Stegostoma tigrinum: one gene and its partner. The protein of the gene in region 2 interacts with the protein of the main gene of each other region in a biochemical or structural test. Links are inferred from orthologs where the notes say so. Each region holds a gene or a part of one and is shown on either strand. Other genes may lie near its edges.

Region 1 (7,649 bases), on a different chromosome or scaffold from region 2:
TTGGCCATGCTAAATTGCCCATAGTGTTCAGGGGTATGTGGGTTATAGGGGGGATGGGTCTGGGTGGGATGCTTCAAGGGGCTGTTTCCACACTGTAGGGAATCTAATCAATCTACAAGATCATGCTTGAAGCTGTGCTTCTAGATTCCTCCCCAAAAAAAAAGGGAAATATCACTTCCGCACATGAAATCCTAGTTCTGTCAAGCCCACTTAGAACGGTGTATGTTTCACTAAGATCACCCCTCATTGAGCTTTCAGCCCAACCATCCCTCATTAAAAGAGCTGAGGCTGGCAAAGATAGCAGTGCATTACGAAGTGCAATTTAGGACAGAAGGTGGGCTTGGGACTTTGGTGGAGGAAGCCATTTTAAAAAGGTTACTCTTTCCCAAAATCAAAATGTAGTTTTCAATTAGCATTCTCTGTTTGCAACTACATTTATCATTAGTGTTTGCAGGAGCTGGAAACTGAAATTTAAAAAAAGGGCTGGAGATTCAGCAAGTTTGACAACACTGAAGAAAAACAAGAGTTCTTCCTCAGCGCCTGAAGTTTTAGCATTTTTGAGTCCACTATGACAACTGTTTCTCTCTCCAAAAGACCTATGTTTCACCAGCACTGTTTTTACTATTGTAATAGATAAGTTCCCGATGCAGCAGCAGCAACAGTGAATGAGGAGGCTGGTTAGAACTAATTTCTTGAGCAGGAATGCTGACTCATCTCTACACTCACTGAAATCCTACAAACATTAGGTGGTTTTGCTAAGTGCAAAAAGTAAGCAAACACTAAGGTTATGACAAGGTGTGCCATTTTCTCCCCAGTTTTCTTCAATCTCTTTCAAATTTAAGCAAATGCTCAGTTCTCCTCTATAATAGACAAATTCAGCATAAAACTTGATCCTCTCAGCCTAATTTATTTCTATCTGTATTTATATACCCAGTACATCTCATTCAACAACCTGACCTCCTGCCCCTATACAACAAACCAAGGTGTGCCTCAAATGCATCTTGTTCACCATCACACTGCTTCCCTAAACTATCAGGGTCATAACCAAATTCACAACTGTGCAAAATGAAGTTCGATTTCATGACAACTTCCATGCTGCCTTGATAGCACATGGAACAAAGCCCTCAAAACTGGAATTGCTTTCCAATCAAACTTAAAAGACCTCAAACAAAATTGCTTGAGAAACTCAGCAGGTCTGACAGTATCTGTGGAGAGAATGAGTGTTAAATGCTTCAAGTCCAGGAAAATCTGTTTTTAGGCTCTTACTAAAACTTGCCTCTTTCATATTCTGAGGAAACCAAATAGCAGACTACAGACTTACATGTGCAGTGATCAAAACTACTTTGTTACATCTTCATGGCAATATTTGTTTTACCTACACTACCATTCATAGCTTCATAGTTTGATTTCTCCAATAGTCTCACTACTTGAGTGAAAAATGCTTTATTAATACCTAACTCAGACTTCCTACATCAAGTCAAACGATATCATTCATTAACTTTTCTCAGCAGACCAATTTTGAAACACTATTTTCAAGTACCTCCACAACCTTGTCCTATTCTTCTGCAATCATCTCTCACCCTTTAAGACCACAATATATAGAATTAGGCAATTTGGTCGATGAAGTATATGCTACCATTTAATCATGTTGCTTCTCTGCACCGTTCTCTTGCCTTTTCCCAATCACACTCGATCCCCTTGTTAATCAAGAGCCTCTGTCTCTTTAAATATACCCAATAGCTTCCACTGATTCACCATCCACTGACGTAAGAAGTTCCTCATCAGAGTTCTAAAAAGGTTTCTCCTTCATTATGAGGCTGTGCCCTCAGGTCCAAATCTCTCCTACTTCTGGAAACATCATCTTCACAGGGATAACAAGCTGGATGAACACAGCAGGCCAAGCAGCATCATAGGAACAGGAAGGCCTAGACCCTTCATCTTCATGTCCATTTTGGTGTTGAATCATTTATTGTCATGTATTCAATACAAAATACAGTAAAACGCAGTGTACTGTCACCATATATAGACACCAAGCACATTAATTTAGAATAAAGTTAAAATATATAAACTCAGGGGAGTCCAACTTTTCTTTCTCTGCTGATACTGTCCCCGACACCATCTCGCACCATGCCACCTCCAGGCTTTTCAGTATTTTGTCAGTCTCAATGAGATGTCCCTTTTTCACTGAAACTCTACTGCGTTCAGACCCAGGGTCCTCAACCATTTCTTAGATAACAATTGTTGTAAACCACCTCTGGACCCCTCCAAGATCAGCATACTCGTTCTAAATATGAGGCCCAAAATTTCTCTCAACTTTCTGAAATGCAGCCTCATTAGTACATCTCTGCTCTTGTATTCTAGCTCTTACTAAGTCAAATGCATTCCAAACTGCCAACTGAACCTGCCATGTTAAACTTAACAGAATCCTGAAGTAGGACAAAGTCCCTTTGTATATAAGATTTCTGAAGTCTTTCCTCATTTAGAAAATAGTCTATGTTTTTATTCTTCCTATTCCACTTTGGTGCTGGGTTGCTGAATTCCTCCCTCAATCTGCAGCATAATAACTGAAGCAGCTCTCCTAACTCCATTAACTTAACTACAGCACTGTTATTTTTAAATGCTTTCTCAGTAATGAACACCTCATATTTGTTTAACTATTGGATAAGTTAACTAGAAAACACACATATGAATCTCAATAGTTTGGAAACTTGAAATTTAGTTGGGAAAAAAATACACATCCACTGGTAGCAGTAAAAGTGATAATGAAACCATCACTTGGCACAAAAAAAAAATCAAACAGATACACCAAATTTTGTTTAAGGACAAACATAGGTGCTCAGCTGAGCAATGTATTCAGTTGAATCAACAAATGCCAGCTATATGCAAATCTCAAGGACAAATGCATTTTAAAACCCTGCTTCCAATCATCTCCTTCACCACCCACTGCCAGCTTCAGACTCTGATTCCATAGAAAATGCCTTAGGACTTCCAGTGATAGGAAAGATGTAAATGTAAATTTGGTTTTACATCTAATACATTAGATGTACATGGTTAAACATGTAATACATTCAGAGTTAAGACAACAATAGCATATACCTGGAAGACATCAATATTGAAGGGTGTCAGTGAAAAGGCCAGGGATTTCAAACAAAGGCACAAAAGTAACTAGGTAACAACTGTTAGCACCAATTTAGATTTAAAGATGAAAAACAGTACAGAAAATTTTGCCAGAATGTTATCCCAAGGTACACATCTAAACAAGGTTTATGAAAGACTCTTCTCTCCATTGTTTCCTTAACATCTTAGTTTTTTGCTGATTACATGAAGCAGATAATCCTTTCCAAAATATTCTCCTCACCTCAAAAGTGAAGGATGAGCTGCTGTAAGGTTTTTTTGATAAGACAAGTTTGAAAACACATTATTTACTTTACCAATTAGTTACTGCACTGTGTACATCTCACACTATATTGCTTTGGCTTTTGTTAAAGTTTTTAAACTTTGTAATTGTGTAGTTTGAAATAATTCAGGGGCAATAGAAGGTGAACAGCAAATGTTGGGTTTGTGCGTTAGTCACACCGTAGAAAACAAAGTGTTAAAACAATGGGTACAGCAAGTGTACAGTTTGCATATTTGTGAAGATTTTCAGCTAAATATTTCTGCGCTCCAAATAACCGATCGAAGAAAGAGGTTCAATGAGTAGAATATTTCTTAACTCTAATTTTGCTTGTTAGTTTATTTTGAATGGCAAAACTATCAAATCGGACACAAAAAAACACCCAACTATGTGCATCCAAGACTGATTTTCCGCAATACCGAAACAGTGTTGGAACAATAAGATAACGACGTCGCAAAGTTTATTAAGTGTCAGCAAATCAAGAATTTACATTACTTTTCTTCAATACAACATTACCGAGCCATACGGTCTTCACGTTTTATTTACTCTCATAACACCTCGAAAGAAAATGGAAACAGACGGCAAATAACATATTTTGAATCATCGCGCAACGGTTAGTGGCTAGAAAGTAGACAAACAAGCGATGCACATGCACATGTAAAGCCCCAACGTAAGTCAGTGACTGGCTGCCATTTACTATACACGATCACTCCGCAGGCCCGCGCAGCCATGACTTGCCCTGGCGCAGTCCATCCATCAGTGTCTTACTGAGTCTCTGTATTTACCCTTTCATTTGCGTGTGAGGTTTGTTTTTCTTTTTGGCACCGAAGAACTCAACTCAGCGAATATTGTGTTTTGTTTTTGCGGGAAGAAAAAACACAACCGTTCTACATCCCACCGTTCACCTCAATCTCTCTTTAAAATAAGTAGACGTCAAGCCACGATCCGGTCACGTGACCCATCTCCCAGCATGCCGTTTAGAAAATTAGGAAGCCAGAAATCAGCCGCTTAGCAAATTAGGAGGCGACCTTTGCAATATGTATGAAATGGTGTGTTGTTTTATGTAGCCGCCTCTGTTCATTATTTATTTGCCTCTTCGTTTTGCTCGCGTGCTGGCTTCAGTTGAACGGAAAGAGCCGAAGGGTTTCCGGAAAAAAACGATCGTTGGCGGGAGGGTCGGCTGTTCCCGATCGCTGACGCGTTACCCGTATGTAGTATGGGCCTCGTCCTCTTCAGTGTTGGTTTGTGTGTGTGAGATGGATCCCGAGAGTTGGTAGTGTCCTTACCTGTTTTTTTAAAAAAAGAGAAGGGCCGGTTTTTCTGAATATTTTGCCCTTCCCTTTAGAAAAAAAATATAATTTACCTTTTGATCCACTCCACATACAACAGCATTGATGGTAATGTATGCAAGGAAACAACCGAGACTCAATGATGGGTAAAATGTTCAGGTTTTCTTCTTGTTATTCTTTAAATCTCCTTTTACCCTTTTTCGAATTCTCCTTATCTTTTGACAATCCGCCATTTTTGCTGTAAACCGAAATAAGTAAAAACTTAATGAAACGAATTCCCCACCTTTGTGATCATTTTACTGTGAAAGATCTTGTTTAAAAATATGTACATTTTCTGCCGAGTTTTTGTTTCAAAGTTTTAAGAAAAATACGTTTTAGACCACCGCTGGCACATTCATTTTCTGGTTTTTATTTCTTTGCAGGTGTCACGACAGGAGGGAATCCCAGCCCTATCAGGTATATTTCTCAGAGTGAATCGAATGCCATTTACTTTAATGAAGGCTTGTGCGTCTGTAACAGGCCTCACGACTTTACAGCTGGATTTTAAGGAGACGGTGCATAAGATAAAAGTTCATTTTAAAATCTTGTGCGAAAATACCATTTAATGACATCGGACGTATTTTCATGACTGTGTTTTAGATTCAATTGGCTCTGATAGCTTTTTTTTTTACTTTTGAATATGAACACATAAAAATACATGTAAATAAATTGTGAACTGTAGGAGGGCCTAGGTTTCCGTGTCCCTGCTTTTTTGTTCCTACGTTTTTGAACACCTTTTTAAGAGACATATTTCTGCTCTAACGATGAGCTGACACACAGATTTCTGTTTAAACCCAGTTGTTTTTGCAATTAATTTATTAAAGTTAGTAGGATAGGGTAGTATGTATCATTTCTGTTTGTGTTTTTAAGCCTAGTTTTAAATTCTTTCAAGGGTGAAGGCCAACATCACTTTTTAAAAGTAGGCTGCTGGAAATTTGCAATTACTTACTCTAACCAATGTTAAATTTGACACGTTAGTGAAAAGTAATACTTGTATGGAAATCTAGTCAGAACTGAAATTAAGTTATACTTAGATGGAGTTCACTTTACATGAAGAATTGAACTAGGAAGGCAATGAAATCCCTGAAAGCTGCACGTGTGCCTACAGTTGCATGTCATTTTGCTTCTAGGTCACAATTCTTCTAATTAACTGTTTTATGATGATTCTATTTCAGACTCTTAAATACCCATCCAAGAGTCACACGAGCAGCAGTGATCATCGCCATGACAAAACCAGAGAATCGGGAGATCCATCACCACCCTGCAAAATGCTGCGACGTTCTAACAGCCCTGAAAATAAACATAGTGATAGTACAGGACATAAGAGTAAAACTGTGCACTCACATCGAGCCAGGGAGCGAGACGGTACGTTACTGTGCAGTTAACATGCAGAAAGTCTTAGTTTTGCGTAAGCCATTACATTTTGGCCATCTTTTGGAAAATACAGCCTTGCTGTCAAAAAGCATTGACGAACAAACGAGTAAAATTACAAATAACATTTTTGATTAAATGCTAAACTTGCCGTTTTAAGCACTTAATTCAAATTAGGAATTCCAGATTAGTAGCTGCTTTAGGTTTGTGCACAGAAACAATACCATTTTTGTTTGAATGTAACCAATAATTGAACGTTAAGATGTGGGCCCATAGGACTGTAACTGCAAATGAAAACCTGGATGATTTTTAGTGAGACAAAAATGAAACATTGAGAAGCCTTGCTAAACTTGTGTTGAGTCTTGATTGGGGCAAACCTGTGGTACTGTGTTGCCATTTTTATTTTAAGAAGGAAAGGGTTACATAGACAATGGCAATAATGCAAAAACAAATTTGCAAGGTTGATATCAGAAATTTAATGTGTGATAACTTTGTGAAAATCATGAACAGGCTACATCCCATTTCTTTTGATGCGACCAAACTCGGGGATGAAAGAACAGAGTTTAAAGATTATTGAAATGTTTGGTGCAGACATGGAGGGAGTGTTTCTGTTGGTGACAGGATTGAAACCAGAGACTGATCATATGCGTTGGTTACAAATGAACAAGCAAAGGTGAACAATTTCTTCACCTGTAGAGTGGTAAGAATGAAGAACTTGAAATTAACGTGGGTTGGGGCAAATATAAATGCTTGTAGAATGGAGATGTGATAAGCATCTAAGTGATTAAGGGATACAAGGTTATGACACAGTTTTGGAAAAAAATGGAGAAGACTTGAGTGGAGCATGACCCTGTTTCTGTACTGTAGATGCTACATCACATGATTTTATATGGTTTTAAAATGATTCAAATTAGTGGTGTCATATTGCACCGAAAATATGGAATAAATCTCAACAGAATGCCCTTAAGGCTCGCATAAGTGCACCTTTACCAAAGGTAAATCTTTATCCAGTGTTTTAGAACTAAAACAGTATTAACATTTTATTAATACAACAGTATTAACAAATCCAAATGCAGAGATTTGGACATTATACAAAGTCATTGAATGGAATGTTTTGATTGAACAGTTACTGGTGGTCCAAAATTTTATGGCCTTTTTGAACTCAAAAATTGTATTTATTGAGCTTTTAATTCTGCAATACAGTGTTTATTGTGCATTTAATCAATGGATCAGATTTCTAACTATTCATGTTTGTGCGCACCTAATAAAATCAAATACTTACCTTGACTTAACTAAATTAGCAATTATTCTGTTTCTTTAGTGGTCACAGCTTGAATTTTCCACCAGTCTGAAATGTATAGTGAAAGGTGTTGGACTTAGTTCTCATCTATTTCACTCATGAAAAAAGCGGAGTTTGACAGATGTTGGAGCACATTTGGTGCAGGATTTGACTCAAACCCCCTTTGGACCATCAAGTCTGCACCAATCCTCTGAAAAGCATCCCACCCTATCCCCATAACTCGACATTTACCGTAGTTAACCCACCTAGCCTGCAC
Region 2 (7,911 bases):
TTTATGAACAGGCAGGGAATACAGTGATACAGACCACATGCAGGCAGATGGGATTAGTTTAAAATAGCATCACAGTCAGCATAGTCATGATGGGCTGAAGGGCCTGTTCCTGTGCTATACTGTTCTACATTCTGAAGACCAACTGCTTGGAGGCATGTAGAATCCTATGACATGGGAACTTTGCTATTTGTAGATCACTGTCTATTGGGCAGTACCTCTGACACAGTGGTGTGGTGACTCTGTGGTAGCACTGTTGCCTCACAGTGCCAGGAATCCAGGTTCAAACCCAGCCGTAGGTGATTGTGTGGAGTTTGTACATTTGCCTTGTGTCTGTGAGGGATTTTTCTGAGTACTCCAGTTTCCTCCCACAGCCAATAATTTGTGGATTGGTTATGCTAAATTATCTGCAGTGTCCAGGATTTATAGGCTAGGTGGATCAGCCAAGGTAAATGTGGAGTTATTAGACTAGTGGGCTGGCTCTGGTTTTGAAGTGATGCTATTTAGACGGGTGGTGCAGACTTGATGGGCCACATGGTTTCTTTCTGCACTGTAAGGATTGTGTGTCTTGGTTGCATCTTCTTCTCTTTGCACTTCAATTATGTGCTCCTTTAGCTTCCTCCTGACCACGATGATTTTGAGCATATGTTTCTCCCTGCTACTCTATCCAGTATCAAAATAGTATGCCTGAGAAGTATCAATTCCCCTCCCTGCCACTTGTTCCTTTCAGAAGTTCAACTACTCACATTCACAAATGTAAACCCATGGTGATAATTCTATGGCACTGGCTGAGCAGCTAGGTTTAAGGTCTGAATTTTATGGTGTGTGGTGTGGTTAGAGAGCATATTGCTTGGCTATTCCCATCTCTTGTTCAATTTGAAACTAGGTAATGTGAGACTTCTGCTCTTTCAGAAAGATGTCCTGCCCTTGTAAAAGGGAGAGGTAACAGTGTAGGAGAGGTGAGTCCCCTATGGTCACAGAGCACAATGCCAAAAGGAGCTACCACTACCTTATATTAAGTAGCATGCTGGCCTCCTTTAGTCTGCCTTCTCCAGCCTCATATTATTGCAGCAAAGGTAGAAACAGGTTCTTAATTAGTCATTAAATGGGCCAGTTAACAGCTTCATTGGTCTAAGGTCATGTGATTCCAATCTGACATCTTGGGTTTGGGTGGGAAAGCACACCAATTTTAGTTTATGCACCATATAGTCCACCACATATTCCAGCAAAGTTTCCTCCAAATCTCCATTTCTTACAAGTTGACTACGTAAGGCAATGTGGCTCAATGGTTACCACAGCTGCCTCACAGCACCAGGGATTTAAGTTTGTTTCTAGCCTTGGGTAACAGTGTGGAGTTTGCATGTTCTCCCCATGTCTGAGCGGGTTTCCACCCAGTCCAAAAATGTGTGGATTAAGTGGATTGGCCATGGGAAATGAAGGGTTATGGGAATATGGTGTGGGATGCTCTTCAGAGGGTTGGTGCGGACTCAATAGGCTAAAAAACATCTTTTTGAACTGTGGGGATTCTATGATTCAACATACCTATTGACATTTATAACTGCCACTGCGTTCACGGCAGCTGCACACTTTCTTTTAACAGTGGCCCTAAGTGAAAACAGTAAAGTGAGAAGACAGTTGAGCTCATGGTGAAATTTGTTGACAGATTGTTAATTCATTGCTGCTCCCAGGCCCTTTGAAAAATCACAACAAAGTCTGAGGTATGAGAACCACTAACAACATCTAAAATAATGATTTCCAATCTGAACCCACACCTAATCTTGCTTTCACAGGTTTTGGAGTGTGACTGACAATTTGAAGAAAAACACAAGTGAACATATTTATGTGAACGGTAAGACATGGCCCCAGGTAATACCTAATTAAAATGTTGATTCACAAAAGAAAAATGTGACATAGAAGAAAAACAACTTTTGAAGGTTTTAGCCTGACTAATTAATAACAAATTATGTTTTTTAATGACATATCACATTTTGGTATATATTATCAATATGTGAAAGGTAAAGTTGCCATAATCCCAGAGGACTAATAGGTATGCTCTCTCATTAGACAGAGATAACAGGTGGTGGTTTAACCTGAGTGTCACTGTGCCTCAGGCAAGGAGAGAAGTTGAGAGGCTGAGAACTTGATGATAACCTCAGCCAGTGCACAAATTAAATTCATGCTGTTTGACATAGAAACACGGACAATGGCTCAGAAACATGAAAAAAGTAAACATATTTTTGCTTCAGAGTTCTTTCAGGATGTCTCATACAAAATGTACATTGGCCAATCCTCATTGGTTAAGGTAATAGAACGGAGAACTGCAGTTGCCAAAAATCTGAAACAAAAACAAAAAATTGCTGGAGAAATTCAGAAGATCTGGTAGCATCTGTGGACAGAGAAACAGATTTATGGGAATACAGGAGCAGGAGTAGGCCATTCAGCTCTGAGTCTGTTCCACCATTTGATAAAGACCTCTACTAATCTGTGGCCTTGACCTCTATCCCTTAATACTTTTGTTTAGCAAAAAAAATCTCAGATTTAATAACTAATCGAGCATCCACCCATGTTTGTGGAAGACAGTTTCAAACATCTCCTACATTTTGTGCATTGAAGTGTTTCCCAAAAGCTCTCCTGAATGGTCTGGCCCTATTTTTTGACTTTGCTTCCTAGCTCTGGAATCCCCAACTAGTGTAAATAGTTTATCCACCTTGCCTTTTACTGTTAATATCTTGAAGACATTGATCAGACCAACCGTTGATCTTTAAATTCTAGAGAAAACAGGAGTCAACATTGAGTCCAGTGACCCTTCTTCAGATGCAAAATCAGAGATTGCTGCAGCAGGTGCTGGCAGCATTAGTGAAGATAAAGCAGAGTTAACTTCTAGGGACCAATGAGCCTTCCGAAGAGGCTGCCAGACCTGCGCAGTCTTTTCAGCAATTTCTTGTTTTGATTCTGATTTCCACCATCCGCAGTTAATTGGTTTGTTTTTTTTTTGAGTAAACCCTTCTTCAGATTCACGTTCCGCTCCCCACAGTTGCTGCCTGACCCGCTCAGTTTCTCCAGTAATCATCCTCCGACACTTCCGCCATCTATAATCCGACCCCACCACCCAAGACATTTTTCCACCCCCACCCTTGTCTGCTTTCCGGAGAGACCACTCTCTCCGTGACTCCCTTGTTCACTCCACACTACCCTCCAACCCCACCACACCCGGCACCTTCCCCTGCAACCGCAAGAAATGCTACACTTGCCCCCACATCTCCTCCCTCACCCCTATCCCAGGCCACAAGGTGACTTTCCACATTAAGCAGAGGTTCACCTGCACATCTGCCAATGTGGTATACTGCATCCACTGTACCCGGTGTGGCTTCCTCTACATTGGGGAAACCAAGCAGAGGCTTGGGGACCGTTTTGTAGAACACCTCCGCTCGGTTCGCAATAAACAACTGCACCTCCCATTCGCAAACCATTTCCACTCCCCCTCCCATTCTTTAGATGACATGTCCATCATGGGCCTCCTGCAGTGCCACAATGATGCCACCCGAAGGTTGCAGGAACAGCAACTCATATTCCGCCTGGGAACCCTGCAGCCCAATGGCATCAATGTGGACTTCACCAGCTTCAAAATCTCCCCTTCCCCCACCGCATCCCAAAACCAGCCCAGTTCGTCCCCTCCCCCCACTGCACCACACAACCAGCCCAGCTCTTCCCCTCCACCCACTGCATCCCAAAACCAGTCCAACCTGTCTCTGCCTCCCTAACCTATTCTTCCTCTCATCCATCCCTTCCTCCCACTCCAAGCCGCACCTCCATCTCCTACCGACTAACCTCATCCCACCTCCTTGACCTGTCCGTCTTCCCTGGACTGACCTATCCCCTCCCTACCTCCCCACCTATACTCTCTCCACCTATCTTCTTTTCTCTCCATCTTCGGTCCGCCTCCCCCTCTCTCCCTATTTATTCCAGAACCCTCACCCCATCCCCCTCTCTGATGAAGGGTCTAGGCCCGAAACGTCAGCTTTTGTGCTCCTAAGGTGCTGCTGGGCCTGCTGTGTTCATCCAGCCTCACATTTCATTATCTTGGATTCTCCAGCATCTGCAGTTCCCATTATCACTTCTCCAGTAATTTCTGTTTTTGTTTCGGACCCTTCTTCGGATCATGTTCGTCCAGCTTCTCACGTTAACTGATTTAAGATGATGTGATGGACTAACGCCCACTGCCAGCCGGCGGGCATTACACTGACGTCAACCAACAATTGTTGCGCATGCGCAGCAGGGTATAAAACGTCATCAAAGGCAGACAATGACGGGTAACTATGACACCGACTTCTCCTTGGTAACCGCGCAGCAGGCCTGGCAACTCTTAATCTGAAGTGACAATCTTGCTAACTCAAATTTAGACCGAGTTCGACAGGTCTGCTCCTCCCTGTACAAGGCGGAGCTTGGAAATCAAACAACACACATTTGAAAGCCCAATAATACGAGTGCCCTTAGTTCAGAGCATCAACTCGTGAGGCGGTGCGATAGCTTGTCAAATATTTTTTAATTGGGTGATAAGGTCACGGGAACACACTATTACAGAAATTATGACATCAAAGAACTAGAAAAAGCACACCACACAAACACGATATAACCATCATCCTAAACTCCCAGCACGCCTTTCGCTAGTCCGGCAATTCGAGTCCCCCTCTGAAAATGACCGCAAGTCACTTCAATGCACTCTGGGATATGTAGTTCCAACGCTGCACAGTTCAACCGCAAAGCCGACGGCCATGCGCTCAGCAGAAAACTACAATTTCCAAGAAGCAGCGCGGCCAAGGCGCATGCGTATCTGCCTCACAGTCAGCCTTTCCTCCCTCCCCACCCATCTATCTTCACCGCTGTCTCCTGCCTCCTCTAGAAGGGATTTGTTTCGTTTTATAACGGAAACTGAGACTGGAAGGAGAAAGACAAGGAAACTGAGTACTTCCGTGTTTCATCTTCCACTCAAGAATATTCGTGATAGGAGCAGTCTTTCCCATTATCAACTGACCATGACACTGTGAGCATTAACGACTAAATATTATATAAACTGATTTTACAGTAATCAGAAATAATCAATGAAACAATGTTGCAAGGATCTAAGAAAAAAGACAAACGCATTCTGTCAGGTACGTGTCCGGATCCCAAGTGCCAGGCTCGACTGTTTTTCCCAGCCTACGGAGTCAGCATAGAATGCACTGAATGCGGCCAGCGGCATGAACAAAGAAATCTAGTCAATATTGAGGAAGTCACCGACCCAGACGTGGTACTGCACAACCTACTGAGGAATGCTTTGCTGGGAGTCACTGCCCCCAAAAAGGGCACGGAAATGGTGAAAGTGATGGGGCTGTCCAATTATCACTGTAAACTACTGTCTCCCATTCTGACCCGGTATGGCATGGATAAGCAAACTGGGAAGGCCAAGCTCTTGAAGGCGATGAACCAAGGGGAAATGTTTGATTGTGCCCTGTTGGGTGACAGAGCTTTCCTTATTGATCCAGAGCACATTGCGACTATGGGCTATGGAAAAGACCGTTCAGGGAGTCTCTTATACCTCCATGATACCCTTGAGGAAATCAAGAAGGCAAATAGTAATCAAGAACGTTTAATCCCTGTACACGTTGATGGTGATGGCCATTGTTTAGTGCATGCTGTGTCCAGGGCTTTAGTAGGCAGAGAGCTTTTTTGGCATGCTTTGCGTGAAAATCTCAAACAGCATTTTAAGGGCAACCTGGATCGTTACAAAGCACTATTTCATGACTTCATTGATGCAGCAGAATGGGAAGATATCATTAACGAGTGTGATCCTTTGTTTGTTCCTCCTGAAGGAGTACCTTTAGGTCTACGTAATATTCACATATTTGGTTTGGCCAATGTGTTACATCGCCCAATCATTTTGCTGGATTCCCTGAGTGGAATGAGAAGTTGTGGTGATTATTCAGCTACTTTTCTTCCAGGATTAGTTCCTGAAGAAAAATGTTGGGGTAAGGATGGACAGCTGAATAAACCTATTTGTATTGCATGGAGCAGTTCAGGACGTAACCATTATATACCTTTGGTTGGAATAAAAAAAGGTCCTTTACCAAGGCTTCCTTTGAAACTGTTGCCCAAAGCTTGGGGTGTACCACAGGAGCTTATTAGAAAGTATATAACATTTGAAGATGACAAATGTATTTTAGGAGGTGATCGAAGTTTGCAGGACAAGTACTTGCAGAGATTAGTTGCTGCAATGGAAGAAATTTTCTTGAAGACACATGATATTCACCCTTCTCTGGTAGCAGATGTTCATCAGTATATATACAGAAGGACAGGGGTGATTGGAATACAGCCTGAAGATGTTACTGAAGCTGCAAAGAAGGCTGTAATTGAAAATCGTTTGCAGAAATGTTTGATTTGTGGTGCTCTGTCTGAACTTCATGTGCCCACTGAGTGGCTAGCTCCAGGAGGAAAGCTGTACAATTTAGCCACAAGCACCTATGGCCAACTAAAGCCAGACAAAAATTACAGCTTTCCTGTCAACCATCTGGTCTGCTCATATGACCCTAAAGAAGATGTACTGGTGCCAGATTACAATTTGAGTCACTTAACATCTTGCAACTGGTGTCACGGTACTTCCATGCGCCATGTCAGAGGGGATGGTTCTGTTGTGTACTTAGACGGAGATCGAACTAATACCAGATCTGCTGGAGGTAAATGTGGCTGCGGCTACAAGCATTTCTGGGAAGGAAAGGAATATGATAACCTGCCTGAGGCATTCCCAATAACTTTGGAATGGAATGGGAGGATAGTTCGAGAAACTGTTTATTGGTTTCAGTATGAAAGTGACATGGCTCTGAATAGCAATGTTTATGATGTTGCTATGAAGCTTGTTACTAAGCATTTTCCTGGTGAATTTGGGAGTGAAATCTTGATTCAGAAGGTTGTTAACACCATATTACATCATACAGCTAAAAAAAATCCTGATGAATATACTCCAGTCACTGTCGAAGGGGCACATAGTCGTAGAGTTGGTGACTTGCAAGATGAGCCAGCATCAGAACCACATTTACCAACCAAAATAATTTTAATGGGTCAGAAATCGAAGACTCTGCATAAAGAAGAACTGAACATGAGCAAAATTGAACGCGGTATTCAGCAGAACATTACTGACCATGCAGCTACTGTGCAAAAGAGGAAAACTGACAAATTACGCCAAGATCCGAAGGTACCAGGCCAACCACCTTCTCCTGGAATTGTTAAAGATGGGTCATCATCTGCCCCAGCCACTCCCATCAAATCCCCTTATTCCACATCACCTTCCAAGGTGAAAAAGATTAGAGTAACCACTAGTGATGGACGACAGGCGACACTGACCCTTCAAGCTTCTGTAACATTTTCTGAGTTTCAAGAAAGCATCGCCAAAGAATTTAGCCTTCCCCCACGTTTGCAATGTATACGGCATGGCTTTCCTCTGAAGGAACTGCACCCCCCTAAAGTGGGATGGGAGAATGAGGTATTGCCTCTGCAACACGGTGATTGTGTTTCTGTGGAGATTCTGAAGGACAGCAAGGAATCTGTTCCTGCTGCTTCAACATCTGCAACTCATTCCTGGAAAACTGAAGAACCTGAAGCATCTGGTAGAGCTTCTGTTAAAGAGATGCAAGACCATATTGATCTTGAAATGTCTTCCCTCTGCCTTCTAGCAACCTTAATGGGTGAGAAGTTATATTATCTTATTTTTATGAATTTTGGGTAACTTATGTAGGAATATTGTTGTGATAGGATTCTCCAACTGGGAACTATTAAAAGGAAGAGAAAACTTAAAAGTGGAAAGCTGACATAAATGCTAAATATATATTAGATCAATCAACACCTGAGAGTGAAAGATAATAGGAAAGTTAACATTTTGTGTTT

What was found. The genes of interacting proteins can lie anywhere in the genome.
Region 1: the proteins of vcpip1 (region 2) and waca form a complex in vitro, tested with the Homo sapiens proteins (2 studies listed by BioGRID). The link is inferred for Stegostoma tigrinum from reciprocal best matches to the Homo sapiens genes VCPIP1 and WAC.

What each region holds. Positions count from the first base shown.
Region 1 is NC_081355.1:124,993,576-125,001,224, forward strand, and holds the start of waca (WW domain-containing adapter protein with coiled-coil), read left to right. Parts: upstream 1-4,589; 5' UTR 4,590-4,788; coding exon 4,789-4,829; intron 4,830-5,105; coding exon 5,106-5,139; intron 5,140-5,897; coding exon 5,898-6,087; intron 6,088-7,649.
Region 2 is NC_081358.1:31,502,052-31,509,962, forward strand, and holds the start of vcpip1 (deubiquitinating protein VCPIP1), read left to right. Parts: upstream 1-4,822; 5' UTR 4,823-5,104; coding exon 5,105-7,712; intron 7,713-7,911. UniProt on the Homo sapiens protein: Deubiquitinating enzyme involved in DNA repair and reassembly of the Golgi apparatus and the endoplasmic reticulum following mitosis. Necessary for VCP-mediated reassembly of Golgi stacks after mitosis.